3 linked regions of the Oryctolagus cuniculus genome follow. The protein of the gene in region 3 purifies or fractionates together with the protein of the main gene of each other region. This does not show direct contact. Links are inferred from orthologs where the notes say so. Each region holds a gene or a part of one and is shown on either strand. Other genes may lie near its edges.

What was found.
Region 1: the proteins of EEF1G (region 3) and EEF1A2 purify together in Homo sapiens (affinity purification with mass spectrometry; 4 studies listed by BioGRID and IntAct, counting the BioPlex papers as one, with this or other methods). This does not show direct contact. The link is inferred for Oryctolagus cuniculus from reciprocal best matches to the Homo sapiens genes EEF1G and EEF1A2.
Region 2: the proteins of EEF1G (region 3) and EEF1A1 purify together in Homo sapiens (affinity purification with mass spectrometry; 5 studies listed by BioGRID and IntAct, counting the BioPlex papers as one, with this or other methods). This does not show direct contact. The link is inferred for Oryctolagus cuniculus from reciprocal best matches to the Homo sapiens genes EEF1G and EEF1A1.

The regions. Positions count from the first base shown.
Region 1 is NC_091442.1:447,922-451,861, forward strand, and holds the start of EEF1A2 (elongation factor 1-alpha 2), read left to right. Parts: upstream 1-1,136; 5' UTR 1,137-1,147; intron 1,148-1,183; exon of another isoform or gene 1,184-1,302; intron 1,303-1,914; exon of another isoform or gene 1,915-2,000; intron 2,001-2,129; 5' UTR 2,130-2,142; coding exon 2,143-2,286; intron 2,287-3,295; coding exon 3,296-3,475; intron 3,476-3,800; coding exon 3,801-3,940. UniProt on the Homo sapiens protein: Translation elongation factor that catalyzes the GTP-dependent binding of aminoacyl-tRNA (aa-tRNA) to the A-site of ribosomes during the elongation phase of protein synthesis.
Region 2 is NC_091436.1:99,027,734-99,031,918, reverse strand, and holds EEF1A1 (elongation factor 1-alpha 1), read right to left. Parts: upstream 2,805-4,185; 5' UTR 2,777-2,804; coding exon 2,633-2,776; intron 2,376-2,632; coding exon 2,196-2,375; intron 2,083-2,195; coding exon 1,786-2,082; intron 1,706-1,785; coding exon 1,555-1,705; intron 1,454-1,554; coding exon 1,197-1,453; intron 1,031-1,196; coding exon 796-1,030; intron 694-795; coding exon 569-693; 3' UTR 284-568; downstream 1-283. UniProt on the Homo sapiens protein: Translation elongation factor that catalyzes the GTP-dependent binding of aminoacyl-tRNA (aa-tRNA) to the A-site of ribosomes during the elongation phase of protein synthesis.
Region 3 is NC_091432.1:8,977,990-8,982,038, reverse strand, and holds the start of EEF1G (elongation factor 1-gamma), read right to left. Parts: upstream 2,803-4,049; 5' UTR 2,793-2,802; coding exon 2,781-2,792; intron 2,134-2,780; exon of another isoform or gene 1,927-2,133; coding exon of another isoform or gene 1,912-1,926; intron 1,691-1,911; coding exon 1,532-1,690; intron 879-1,531; coding exon 815-878; intron 660-814; coding exon 517-659; intron 1-516. Other genes in the region: TUT1 (speckle targeted PIP5K1A-regulated poly(A) polymerase), read right to left, coding at 3,883-4,049. UniProt on the Homo sapiens protein: Probably plays a role in anchoring the complex to other cellular components.

The DNA of each region.
Region 1 (3,940 bases), on a different chromosome or scaffold from region 3:
TCCTCTGCATCCCTGGCCATGGGGTCAGGGGTCCCTGGACTTGCGGTCTGCAAACACAGGGGCAGCCCCCAGGAGGGCCTGCCACTGTCCGGGGGCCCCACCCGACTGTCCTCCCCGCGGCCAGCCACGGGCATCACCCCAGTAGCAGGTGCAGGGGCCCCCACCTGGTGCCGCCCCTGGCCAGTCCCAGGGGACCCCGCCGGCCACGGGAACAGGCAGAGGGCTGTTGGCATCCACCTCTCCTCCCCCCAGACCCTGCAGACCAAGGCCTGAGCCGGGGGGGGGGGGGGCGGACAGCAGGGGAGCAAAGCCTGGGGACGTGATGAGGACAGGGGCTGCGAGAGGCCCCCACCGTGACTCGCACCACATCCACGCTGCCTGCCCCCCGCCTGGAGCCTCGGGAGCTGTCCAACCTTAGGGACTCTCCCTCCCAGCAGGAGGCCCTCTGAAATCAGCAAGCAAGGGCTTGGCTCAGCCAGGGGAGGCCGTGGGCTGGGGGCTGGCTCCCTTAGGACCCCGGGCTGTGGCTGTTTCCCCAAAGCCCACTCTGCCCCACACCTGTCACCGATGTGAGTGGGTGCTGGGAGCGGCCAGGAGCAGGGGACAGAGGCTCCCCCCGGGGCCTCACGGGCCTGCTGTGGGCAGGGTCCCACCCAGAGGGGCTGCACAGGCTCATGAGGCCAGACCTGGAGCGCCCCCCCCCCCCGCCCCACTGGGACACAGACCAGGACTTGGGCTTGCTTCAGGCCTGCTCGCCTGCCCGTCCCTCCTCACCTGCAGACTCCTGCCCTGCTGTGCCCGCTCATCCGGGCCTCCATCTGCCCAGAGGCCGCGACCCCCCCTCCCCCGCCCCGCCGCGGTGTCAGCCAGGGTCTCTGTCTATGTCCCGGTACCCATCCCCCGCCGCCTCGCCGCATCCCGCGCTCTCCCTCCATCGCTGGTGCTCGCTCCCTCCCCCCGCCTCCCGCGCGCCCGCTCCCGCGCGCCCCTGGGCTCGCCCCGGCTGCGCCCGCCCGCGCGCGCCGCATTGCCGTACTGCAGGGCGCGGTGCATTGCGCCCGCACCGTCAATAGGTGGACCCCTCCCGGAGACATAAAACCGCCGGCGCCGGCGCCGCCAGTCCCTCTGGCTGAGACCTCGGCTCCGGGTAAGGACGTTCGGCTTCCGGGGCCCGCCCCAGGCCCGGCTTTTCGCCGAGGGACCTCTCCCCGGAGACCGGCCCGGGGCGCAGAGCGGAGCCGCTCTGTGCGCCTGGCGACGCCCCGCCGCTCGGCCGGGGCTGTGGCCGACCCCCGTGCCGGGGTCGGTCCCTGCGGGCAGGCGGGTGGGGAGGGGACCGAGGCGCTCTGGTGTGCAAGGCGGCGGCTCCGGGGGGCTACGCCGCCCAGCCGCCGTGACCTTGGGCCGCCCGGGCCCTGCGGGTTTGGGGAGGGTTGCAGCGAGCTGTCGGGGGTGGGGGCGGTCTGGCCTGTGCCGGTGCGGGGCAGTCTGGGGAGGACAAGAAGGGAGCTTTTCCAGGTCCCTGGCCGGTGTTCCCACCCCCAGGGTGCCGCAGCCTCTGTCTTCCCCTCCCCCAGTCTCCTGGCCTCTGGGGTCAGCAGTGGTGTGGAGGGATTCTCCTTGACCTCCAGGATGGGCAGGCGCTGAACCCCAGATTCTGGACCAGAGGGAAGAGGGGAGCACAGGGTGCCCGGCCGCTGAGCTGGCTGGCGGGAGCCTCCCCCCCAGCTGGAGCAGGGACCCCCTCCGGCCCTGCTGTCTGTCCCCTGGGGGCTGTCTGATGTCTGGGGGAGTCCCTAGCCAGGCACCACATGGGGCCTGCGTCCCCCCTGCCAGCCCGCGGGCAGGGACAGCGGAAGATGGCGCACTGACCGCCTCTCCAGCAGGTGGGGGCGGGGCGCTTGTCCCTGGCCCTGCGGCGGCTGGGGGGCCGGCAGGGTGACTCATCACCCGGCTGCACTGGTCCTGGGCTCCCCGGCACGGTGCCCCTTGTCTTCCAGGTGGGGGCTTTGCAAGGAGCAGGGGCGGGGGCTGCAGCAGACGGAGGCAGGGGCGGGGGCGGGGGCTCAGCTGGGGCAGGCCCAGGTGGGGGCTGGGGGCTCCTCCCTGAGCCACCCCCTCCCCAGCAGAGCCCCCGGCAGAATGGGCAAGGAGAAGACGCACATCAACATCGTGGTCATCGGCCATGTGGACTCGGGCAAGTCCACCACCACCGGCCACCTCATCTACAAGTGCGGGGGCATCGACAAGAGGACCATCGAGAAGTTTGAAAAGGAGGCGGCCGAGGTGAGCCTGGGCCCCAGCTGCCCCCCAGAGGCCCGCCCCCGCGTGGGGCTGAGGCAGCGCCCCCTGAGGACCCAGGGAGGGGGCAGGGCGGCCTCAGCTGCCAGGTCCCTGTTGGGGAGGGGCGGGCCTGCCCTGCAGGGGTCCACAGAGGGTTCCAGAGCCCTCTCCTTGCCCCCAGGGCAGAGGCTGGGGCTGGAGGTGGCACTGCCCTCACTTGTCCCGGGGCCTGGCCAGGCGCAGCTGCTATTAATAGCGGGACGACGGGCAGGCGGCCCAGCGCCGCTCTCTCCTACTGACCTGCTAGGGCCGCGTGTCCAGGAGGACGGCCCTCAGCTGACCTTGCCTCTTTCCTGGCTGAGACCCGTGGGTGGGCCGTGGCCCCGGCCCCCACCCCCAGCTCTGGGAGACACTGTGTGCGTGCGGCAGAGCCTGGGCTGGGCCCCTGGGAGGGGGGGAAGGGGTGCTCTGAGCCGCAGCCGGTGCCGGCTCAGCCCTGGGTGGGCAGCCCTCCTGCCCGAGCCCGGCCCGGCTGGACAGCACCTGCACCTCAAGCTGCAGCCCTGGCCTAGGCTGTGGGGGTCTCCCAGGTGCTTGCCAGCTGCGCCCGGCCCAGCTCCCCGGGGAGGCGAGAAGAGGAGGCGGAGCCTCACAGGCAGTGGAAAGAGCTGGAAATTTCCCAAGATTTTTTTCTGTTTATAAATAACAGAGGGGCTATTGATTTGGCAGCCGACACCCAGTGCGGTGCCTCTGGGTGACCCAGAGTCTGAGGGTGTCACCGACCTCAGATGAGGGGCCCCCCACCCTGGGAGTGGATTCATCCTGACGGCCTCCTTCGGGGAAGACAGCTCCCGGGCCCTCACGCCACCTGCTGGTGGACATGTGAACTGCTGCAGGGAGGACTGGGGACCCCTGCTCTCAGGGGCTGCTCCCCGGTCCAGGGCAGCCCGGGCACTGCGCAGGCTCCACCCTGGGCTGGGTGTGACCGCTGGGCCCTGGGTCCTGCCTGCAGATGGGGAAAGGCTCCTTCAAGTACGCCTGGGTGCTGGACAAGCTGAAGGCCGAGCGGGAGCGCGGCATCACCATCGACATCTCCCTCTGGAAGTTCGAGACCACCAAGTACTACATCACCATCATCGACGCGCCCGGCCACCGCGACTTCATCAAGAACATGATCACGGGCACGTCCCAGGTGGGCAGGGCGGGGGCGTGGAGGGGGCACCTCCCCTGCTCCCCCTCTCGGCCCCAGCCAGCTGCGGGGGAACAGGTGGGGACACGGGATGACCCCCCAACAGCTGTAGAGGCCAAGACAGGAACAGCAAGGTGTGGGTGACAGCAGTGGGCCCAGGCAGGCAGAGAGCCGGGCAGCACCCAGGAGGCCACACACTCGGCCCTGCAGCGAGGGACAGGGCCACAGGCGCTGATGGTGGGGCGGGGCCCCAGGGCTGGGGGCCAGCGACTGCCCACCCCCGCTCCGCTCCCGCGGGCTGGGGCTCACGGTGCCGGGCCTGCCCCAGGCGGACTGCGCGGTGCTCATCGTGGCCGCGGGCGTGGGCGAGTTTGAGGCCGGCATCTCCAAGAACGGGCAGACGCGGGAGCACGCGCTGCTGGCCTACACGCTGGGCGTGAAGCAGCTCATCGTGGGCGTCAACAAGAT
Region 2 (4,185 bases), on a different chromosome or scaffold from region 3:
CAAGTAATTTGGGAAACCAAAATTTAATGATTCTAACAAATTTACTTGTAGCTACACAATTTTATATGCAACATTTCATCCCTTAAGATTACAGAATTTTGCTTTCTAAACTAAATTACATGTCAACAGTTCTAACCAGCAGGGCTAACAGCCCTCCATAGCTTAAAACAAACAGGTGGGAAAAAATCCCTAACCCATGGAGTTTTAAAATTCCAGCCAATTCTAATTAGAAAAACCTGGAACACATTTGACAGGTCCAGTGTTGACAAGAAGACACAGGTTTCTCATTAAACTTTGTTTTAATGGGTCTCAAAATTCTGTGACAGATTTTTGGTCAAGTTGTTTCCATTAAAAAGTACTGATTTTAAAAACTAATAACTTAAAACTGCCACGCACAAAAAAAATGGTCCACAAAACATTCTCCTTTCCTTCTGAAGGTTTTACGATGCATTGTTATCATTAACCAGTCTTTTACTATTAAACTTAAATGGCCAATTGAGACAAACAGTTCTGAGACCGTTCTTCCACCACTGATTAAGACTGGGGTGGCAGGTATTAGGGGTAATATTCATTTAGCCTTCTGAGCTTTCTGGGCAGACTTGGTGACCTTGCCAGCTCCAGCAGCCTTCTTGTCCACTGCTTTGATCACACCCACAGCAACCGTCTGTCTCATATCACGGACAGCGAAACGACCTATTAAAACAAGTATTGAGTTGCCATGAGACACATAGTTCACAGAAGCAATTGTTAATCTTTAGTACAACTTGTAATAGCAATAAAAAAAAAAATCCTTACCCAGAGGAGGATAGTCAGAGAAGCTCTCAACACACATGGGCTTGCCGGGAACCATATCAACAATGGCAGCATCACCAGATTTCAAGAATTTAGGGCCATCTTCCAACTTCTTTCCAGAACGACGATCAATCTTTTCCTTCAGCTCAGCAAACTTGCAAGCAATGTGAGCTGTGTGACAATCCAGTACAGGGGCATACCCAGCACTGATCTGACCTGGATGGTTCAGGATGATCACCTGGGAAAAAAAGGATATGCATTTTAGTGCTTCTCAAACTGAACTGTGGTAACAGCTAGAAATGCTAACTCCCCTGATGTGATAACACTTCATACATGCATCAGATTGCTTACCCCCTTGAGTATGCATGAACATTGTCAATTAACAGATCATTTTAAATTGTTACCTGAGCAGTGAAGCCAGCTGCTTCCATTGGTGGGTCATTTTTGCTGTCACCAGCAACGTTGCCACGACGAACATCTTTGACAGACACGTTCTTGACATTGAAGCCCACATTGTCCCCAGGAAGAGCTTCACTCAAAGCTTCATGGTGCATTTCGACGGACTTGACTTCAGTTGTGACATTGACTGGAGCAAAAGTTACCACCATGCCAGGTTTGAGAACACCAGTCTCCACTCGGCCCACAGGGACAGTGCCAATACCTAAAATATTTGCAGATTACCAAAGAGTTATTGAGGGCCAAAGATTTTTCACCTGTTCCAATTCAAGTTATATTCTGATGTTACATTAATACCCAACTTACCACCAATTTTGTAGACATCCTGTAGGGGCAGACGCAGAGGCTTGTCAGTTGGTCTAGTTGGTGGAAGGATGCAGTCCAGGGCTTCAAGCAGTGTGGTTCCACTGGCATTGCCATCTTTGCGGGTGACTTTCCATCCCTTGAACCACGGCATCTGAAACACAAGAGAACAATTAATTCTATCACATCACCACTTCCAGCTCTTTAACAAGCACTGTCTTGAAAGTCACTTACATTAGCACTTGGCTCCAGCATGTTGTCACCGTTCCAACCAGAAATTGGCACAAATGCTACTGTGTCAGGGTTGTAGCCAATTTTCTTAATGTAGGTGCTGACTTCCTTAACGATTTCCTCGTATCTCTTCTGGCTGTAGGGTGGCTCAGTGGAATCCATCTTGTTAACACCAACAATTAGCTGTTTCACACCCAGCGTGTAAGCCAGAAGGGCATGCTCACGGGTCTGCCCGTTCTTGGAGATACCAGCTTCAAATTCCCCGACACCAGCAGCAACAATCAGGACGGCACAGTCAGCCTTTAAAGAAATCAAGGACACACACTGTGAACGAAGGTACCTCAAACCTAAGGAGGAACTCACCCACCCCCCGCCTAGAAAACCTTATGTCTACAGTTACTAGTTGCACAAACCTGAGATGTGCCTGTAATCATGTTTTTGATGAAGTCTCTGTGTCCTGGGGCATCAATGATAGTCACGTAATACTTGCTGGTCTCAAATTTCCACAGGGAGATGTCGATGGTGATACCACGCTCACGCTCGGCTTTCAGTTTATCCAAGACCCAGGCATACTTGAAGGAGCCCTTTCCCATCTGTAATTACACAGAGCACTCAGACGGTTACTAAGACACAGCAAAGCTTGAAACCCCATGCCCCCCTCCGCTTGGGAATGCATTCCGCTTCCCAAACTGCTGGGCCTAGGTGGCTCTCCAGTCGATATGGTGGCTCGTGATTTTAACATTCACATTCAGACAACTAATCACTGTTGTCTTTTATAGTCATAGCACTCTCATTTTAGTGGCCAGACTTAATGTAATTCAGCATCTTTCCCTTGCGATACTGGACATACCTCGGCAGCCTCCTTCTCAAATTTTTCAATGGTTCTTTTGTCGATGCCACCACATTTGTAGATCAGATGGCCAGTGGTGGTGGACTTGCCCGAATCTACGTGGCCAATGACGACGATGTTGATGTGAGTCTTTTCCTTTCCCATTTTGGCTTTGATTTAGCGGTGGTTTTCACGACACCTAAAATGGAAAAAGGGGGGGAACCTTTGAACCACTGTCCGAGGGTTGAGACTAAGCCACGTTCAAAACTCAAAAGGGCAAATTCCAAGGAGAATTACATCCAATGCCAAGCTGGCCTAACTCTTCAGTCTCCACCCACCGAGTGAGTTAACTCCATCGCCTAAAAAATCTCCGCCCCCAGCCGAGCCAAGCCGAACTCCAAAGGCCACACGAAGAAGCCAGGTGCCCAGACGGCGCCCTGTACCCCGTGGGGTCGCAGGAAGCGGCGGCCGAAGAGGGGAAGGCTCTTTTCCTTTGTGTGGGTGACTCACCCGCCCGCTCTCCCGGGCCACCGCGTCCTCCATTTTGAGCTCCCTGCAGCGGGGACGGCGAGCGGCCATCTTTTTCCGCGCACGCAACTGGTGCCGAGCGGGCCGGGCTCCGCCGCCCGGGGTGGGGCGGCCGCGGCCCCACCGAGCCGCCCGCCCCACGACCCTCGCCTCTCCCCTCGCCCGGCCTGGGCAGGCGCGGCGCCGTCGGGCCTCGCCCAGGCCGCGCCCGACATGTGCGCCCGGACGGGCGGGCCCCGCCGCTCGCTGTCCCTACGCCGCGCGGCCGCCCTGCCACCCCCTCGGGCCGGACGACGAACGCGCGGGGTAGCCCGCCCGGCCTCGGCGGGCCCATCTCGACGAACAAAAAAAGAGCCGTACCGATCCACGTAAAAACTCAAAGGGCCGAAGGGCCCCGCGAGCGAGGCTAGCCAGGCCGGCGCGAAGGCGAGAGGACTCGCACGCGGCGGCCACGCCAGGCCTCAACTCCAGCACGAGGAAGAGGCTCCTGGAAAACGCGCAAACCTCCAACCCTCCCGCCCCGTTACAGCCCGAAATTCGGAGCCAGGAACCTCGTCAAGAGGCTCAGTGGCATGGCAGTGTCCCCGAGCACGCGAGGGCCCCAGCCCGCTCAAGGCCAGACCCGCGGAAGCCACACCCGACACTCACCTGTGTTCTGGCGGCAAACCCGTTGCGAAAAAGAACGTCCAGGGCGACTACGGCACTTATATACGGTTCTCCCCCACCCTCGGGAAGAGGGCGGAGTCAGCACACGACACCGCTTTCCCAGTTTGCCCCGCGCCACCTCCACTAGGCACCGGTTCAATCGCCGTCCCCTCCCCCAACGCCTCGGGGACCGTGGGCGATGTGCGCTCCGACCACTGACGAGCACACAGCGCCTCGCGCATGCTCGCCTCGGTCCCGGTGACGACGAGCGCGAGGGGTAGGGGGCGGGGACGCGGCGATCTCTCGGTTCTAGGGTAACGGGAGTTTAGCGACGGTCCCTGGGCTTCCCCGAGACTGAGGCGAGTCCTCTTTTGTATGAATTACTCTGGGCTCTGGCGGCG
Region 3 (4,049 bases):
TTCTCAGTGGGAAGCAATTCCCTTCCCTCAACCCTCCACAGAACTAAAAAAAGCTGCTTCACTGAATTGAGTCTGGCTCACCCAGACCAGCCCTCTTTCAATGGAGTCAGATTCTAAGATGATTCCAAATCACAAAGCTCTCCATGGTTAAATTTCTTTATGGCAGTCTGGCTTCATTTCCACAGTAATGATGGTACTCATTTATCTTTGGATAAGTAGATGGAATCTTGGACGTCATCTGGTTTAACTCTTCTACAACTTGGTAAACTTCCTACAACAGAAATCTCTCCTCTGATCTCTTATGACAGATAACACTTCCACTGACAAAAAAAAAAAAAAAAAAAAAAAAGCCAGACAGCACCCACTGTCCCACATGTATACTCCAAAGCCTACGTTTCCTCATTGCCCACACATCTGTGGTACTTTGCTTTCTCAGCCTATTGTATTTCTTACTCCCCAGCATGCAGAAGCTGATGCCAACCCTGCTCCTGCTTCTCCCCAAGTTCCGAGGCTCACCTGCTTGTTGTGATGCATGATGCCCAAGGTGGGGAACACCCAAGTGCTGGCTGGGGGCACTATGTCACTATCGGCAAAGCTCACCCACTGCACCACCTGGGCGGCTGCCTCTGGAGTACTTCCCCGCAGCTCCTCATTGCTCACTGCAGAGGCAGAACACAAAGAGCAGAACTTTGGGATCATGCCAACATAAGTCTAGGTTCCCAAGAATTCTTCCTTGTCCACTCCAGCTCACCCGCATCCTCTCCTACACCCTCACCTCCACACCCTCCCATTCCCATAAGTGCCTGTAAATTACCATAGTAGGCAATGGCGTTGCTCTCAAACACACAGAATCCATCATCACCTTCAAATGCTGGAACCTGGGGGCAAAACAGTGAAAACATAAAGTACATTTCATTAGCGAATCCCAGGAACTGAACTGCTTTGGACAAAACTGTCTACATAAGGCTGACAATTCTTGTAATCCAAACTCTTAATACCGTCTAACAAACAGACTTTGATAACTTGGTATCCCCTGTAATCTGAATTTGCCATGTCTAAACTAAGAAACCCAAAATATTTGGTTATTATAAGGTATTTGTATAGAAGTCTTCAAATACGAAGGGGCTAGAAACGAAGTTATACATGTTTGCTGTATCACTCACTGTATCTGGCCTACGCATATACACCTGATCCCTCCACTCTTAGTGAAGTAATTTCCCTATCTCTGTAAGCCCCTTGGATTAAAAACCTTGCTCACAATATATAATCTATATACTCACACTGAAATAGTTGGCCAAAACTCATTCTCTTTCTCAGAAATATAAAGCATGCCTGTCAGTTTTATAAAGTCACTGAGGAGCTATTATTTTTCACAACTACAATTATCTAAGAAAGTGTTCTTAACCACTGAAATGTGAAAGAAAATAACATGAGAAGCTGTCTTTTAAAGATAAGGCCCATCCCCAGAGTGACGGAATCAGGGCTCCTAAGGGTCCCAGGTCCAAAAGCCCCTCACCACTTCCTTACTCACCTTGCCAGCAGGGAATTTGCGGAGAAATTCAGGGGTTCGGTTGGTCTGGCCGAAGTGGAAGTGGGGGGGTGCGGAGAGCACGCGGACCTGAGCCCCGCTGTACTGAGCAGCGATGAGGGCCTTAAAGGCCCTCCAGTTTTCAGGGTATGTGTACAGGGTCTATGTAAGAAAAGGGGAAAAGATTAATGTGAGGAGGGGTCCCAGCCTGCGCGCCATATGCCAGCATGGCTTTCCTCAGCCATCACAATCGGTTCCGCTCACTTTTACTCCCTCGGGGAAACCAGGTTCCCTAGTGCTTGCCACATGTAATCAGAGTCCTCCGAAGCACCAAGCACAGAACTACGCATCAGCGGCTAAATAAAGCTCGGGGACAAACTGACCTTCCCTAAGGACATCTCGGGAAGCACTCATTCTCCTTCCCCTCATATTTATCTCCAAGAAGCCCAGCACTGCCTCCCTGAGACTCCGTCTGCCTACAAACCTACACCCCTGCCTTCCCGGGGGCTGCGTTTCATTCATTGACGGTTCCCCAGTGCCTGCCTACTCCACCGCTGAGCTCATCACTGCCTCAGAGCCACCAACCTCCTCTGCAAGGCACACACATCCGGACGTTTCAAGTTCCCCTCAGGATAGCCATCGAGACAACCAATAGCATGCCCTCTTCCTAAATCGACTCCTTGCCCTAAAAAGCCTTTCTTGCCGAGTCGCGCACGCCTTCCCTCCCGTCCCGTCCCGTCCCGCAGCGAGTTCCCAGCTTCTGCCATCTCGGAGAGCCCGGCCAGAGGGATCCATCCACCCGGTCTGGCCTCACCGTCCAGAGATGCCTCGCTCCCCCAAGCCTCCCTGAGCGGCAACCCCTAACCATGCCAGCCGAGCCTCTCCACAAAGACCCTCCTCTTCGCTCTGCCCCCGCTGCTGCCCCACAAAACGGCCGCGAAAGTTCCGCCAACCTGCCCGGATCCCGCGTCTCAACGAAGCAATGAAGCTGAACCCCCTGTCAGGCTCCAGACGGCCCAGATCCAGCATCTCATTGCTCCTCTACCCCAGACTCTTCCACCTCTGGCCTCGGAGAGCCCCAGCCTCAGTTCCCTTCCGGGCCCTAGGACCTCCGTTCTCCTACAGTACGGTCTGTAAACTCCGGATCGGTCCCCCACTCAGCTCCAGAACGCCTCCGGCGCCGACTGGCCCTACTCAGACAGAGGATGGCGGCGGATAAGGTGACCCGGCTCACTAGACCCGGCAAACTTACCCCGGCCGCCATGGTGATTCCGCAGAGAAAGGGGGTTGGGCTCTCAGCGCTGCCGCAAAGTAAGCCGCCAGGGAGAAAAGGGAGGGGGTAAGGGGAGAGCCGTGGAGAAACAGCAGCCGGAAAGCGAGGACGGCATAGAAGGCACACGCACGACAGTTCGGTATCCAGCCGCGTTGGAGGGGGTGGGGCCTGAGGGGCCGCGCAGCCGGCGCGCTGGGCTTGTGACTGGCCGGCCCTTCTGCTGCAACCGACCAATCAGAGCCCCGAGGTGGAGGTAGAAGGCGGGGGGGGGGAGGCGGGGGCGGGGAAACTGTGAGAACCGGCTAGCAGGGCCGCCCCTTCGCGGCTACGTGGCACAGCGGCCCACCCAGTGCGGCGCCGGCTCCCGCAGGCGCACCCCTCCCGCCTTCCTGCGGCAAGCGGCCTGACGGTAGGTTCTGCCAGCCCCTCGCATCGCCCGCGAAGCTCACGGGGCCGAGAAGCCAGAGCTGCGCGGAGGCGGGAGCTGGCGAGGTTCCTTTTGTTCCCGCTCTGGACTTGAGAGAGGAATGTACACGTAACAGGGGCTCGGGTCTGAAACCATCTGCCCGAGTGAGGTTCGCTCACATGACACTAGTTTGCAACTCCGCATGCTGGTACTGCGACAAGGACACCAGACCTCTGACCCGCAGCAGTTCAGGGGCGCAGGAGAACCCAGCCATGGGCCCTGCCACCCGCTTCGGAGCCTGCATTCTGCTGGGTTGCTTTTTACCCATGTTCCGGTGTGAAAATCTATTACTCAGTTGAAGAACGAGAATGGAAGAGGTCTGAACCCACATCTCCGGCTTTGACACCACGTGTAAACCCGGGGCAGCAGCCTCACTGGAGGCAGACTTGCTGCAAAGCCCGCAAGCACGGTCATTCGGGAACTCTGCCAGGTGCCTGCAGGCAGTGCTAAGTGGGAAGACCAGGGTGATCGGGGTCAGACAAGGCAGATCTGAGAGGGCTGTATTAAGGTGTGGGAGAGCCCAAGAAGGAGGCGGAAAGTACCGGGAGAAAATCAGAGAAAACTGGAGAGTATTTGTATTAAACTAGCAGCTTTATTGCCCTCTATGGCCCATGTTCACTTGAGGAGATTTCGCAGTGCTTGAGGGAGGAAAACTTGTAAGAAGTGATAGAGGTCAGGGAACAGGCCCTGGGAATCCCGGAGAGGGGTCACAGTGAGAGTCTGGTCAGCTTGGGAGGCAGACACGATGAAGGTCAGGAGGGGGTCAGTTTCTAGCCTGGGTT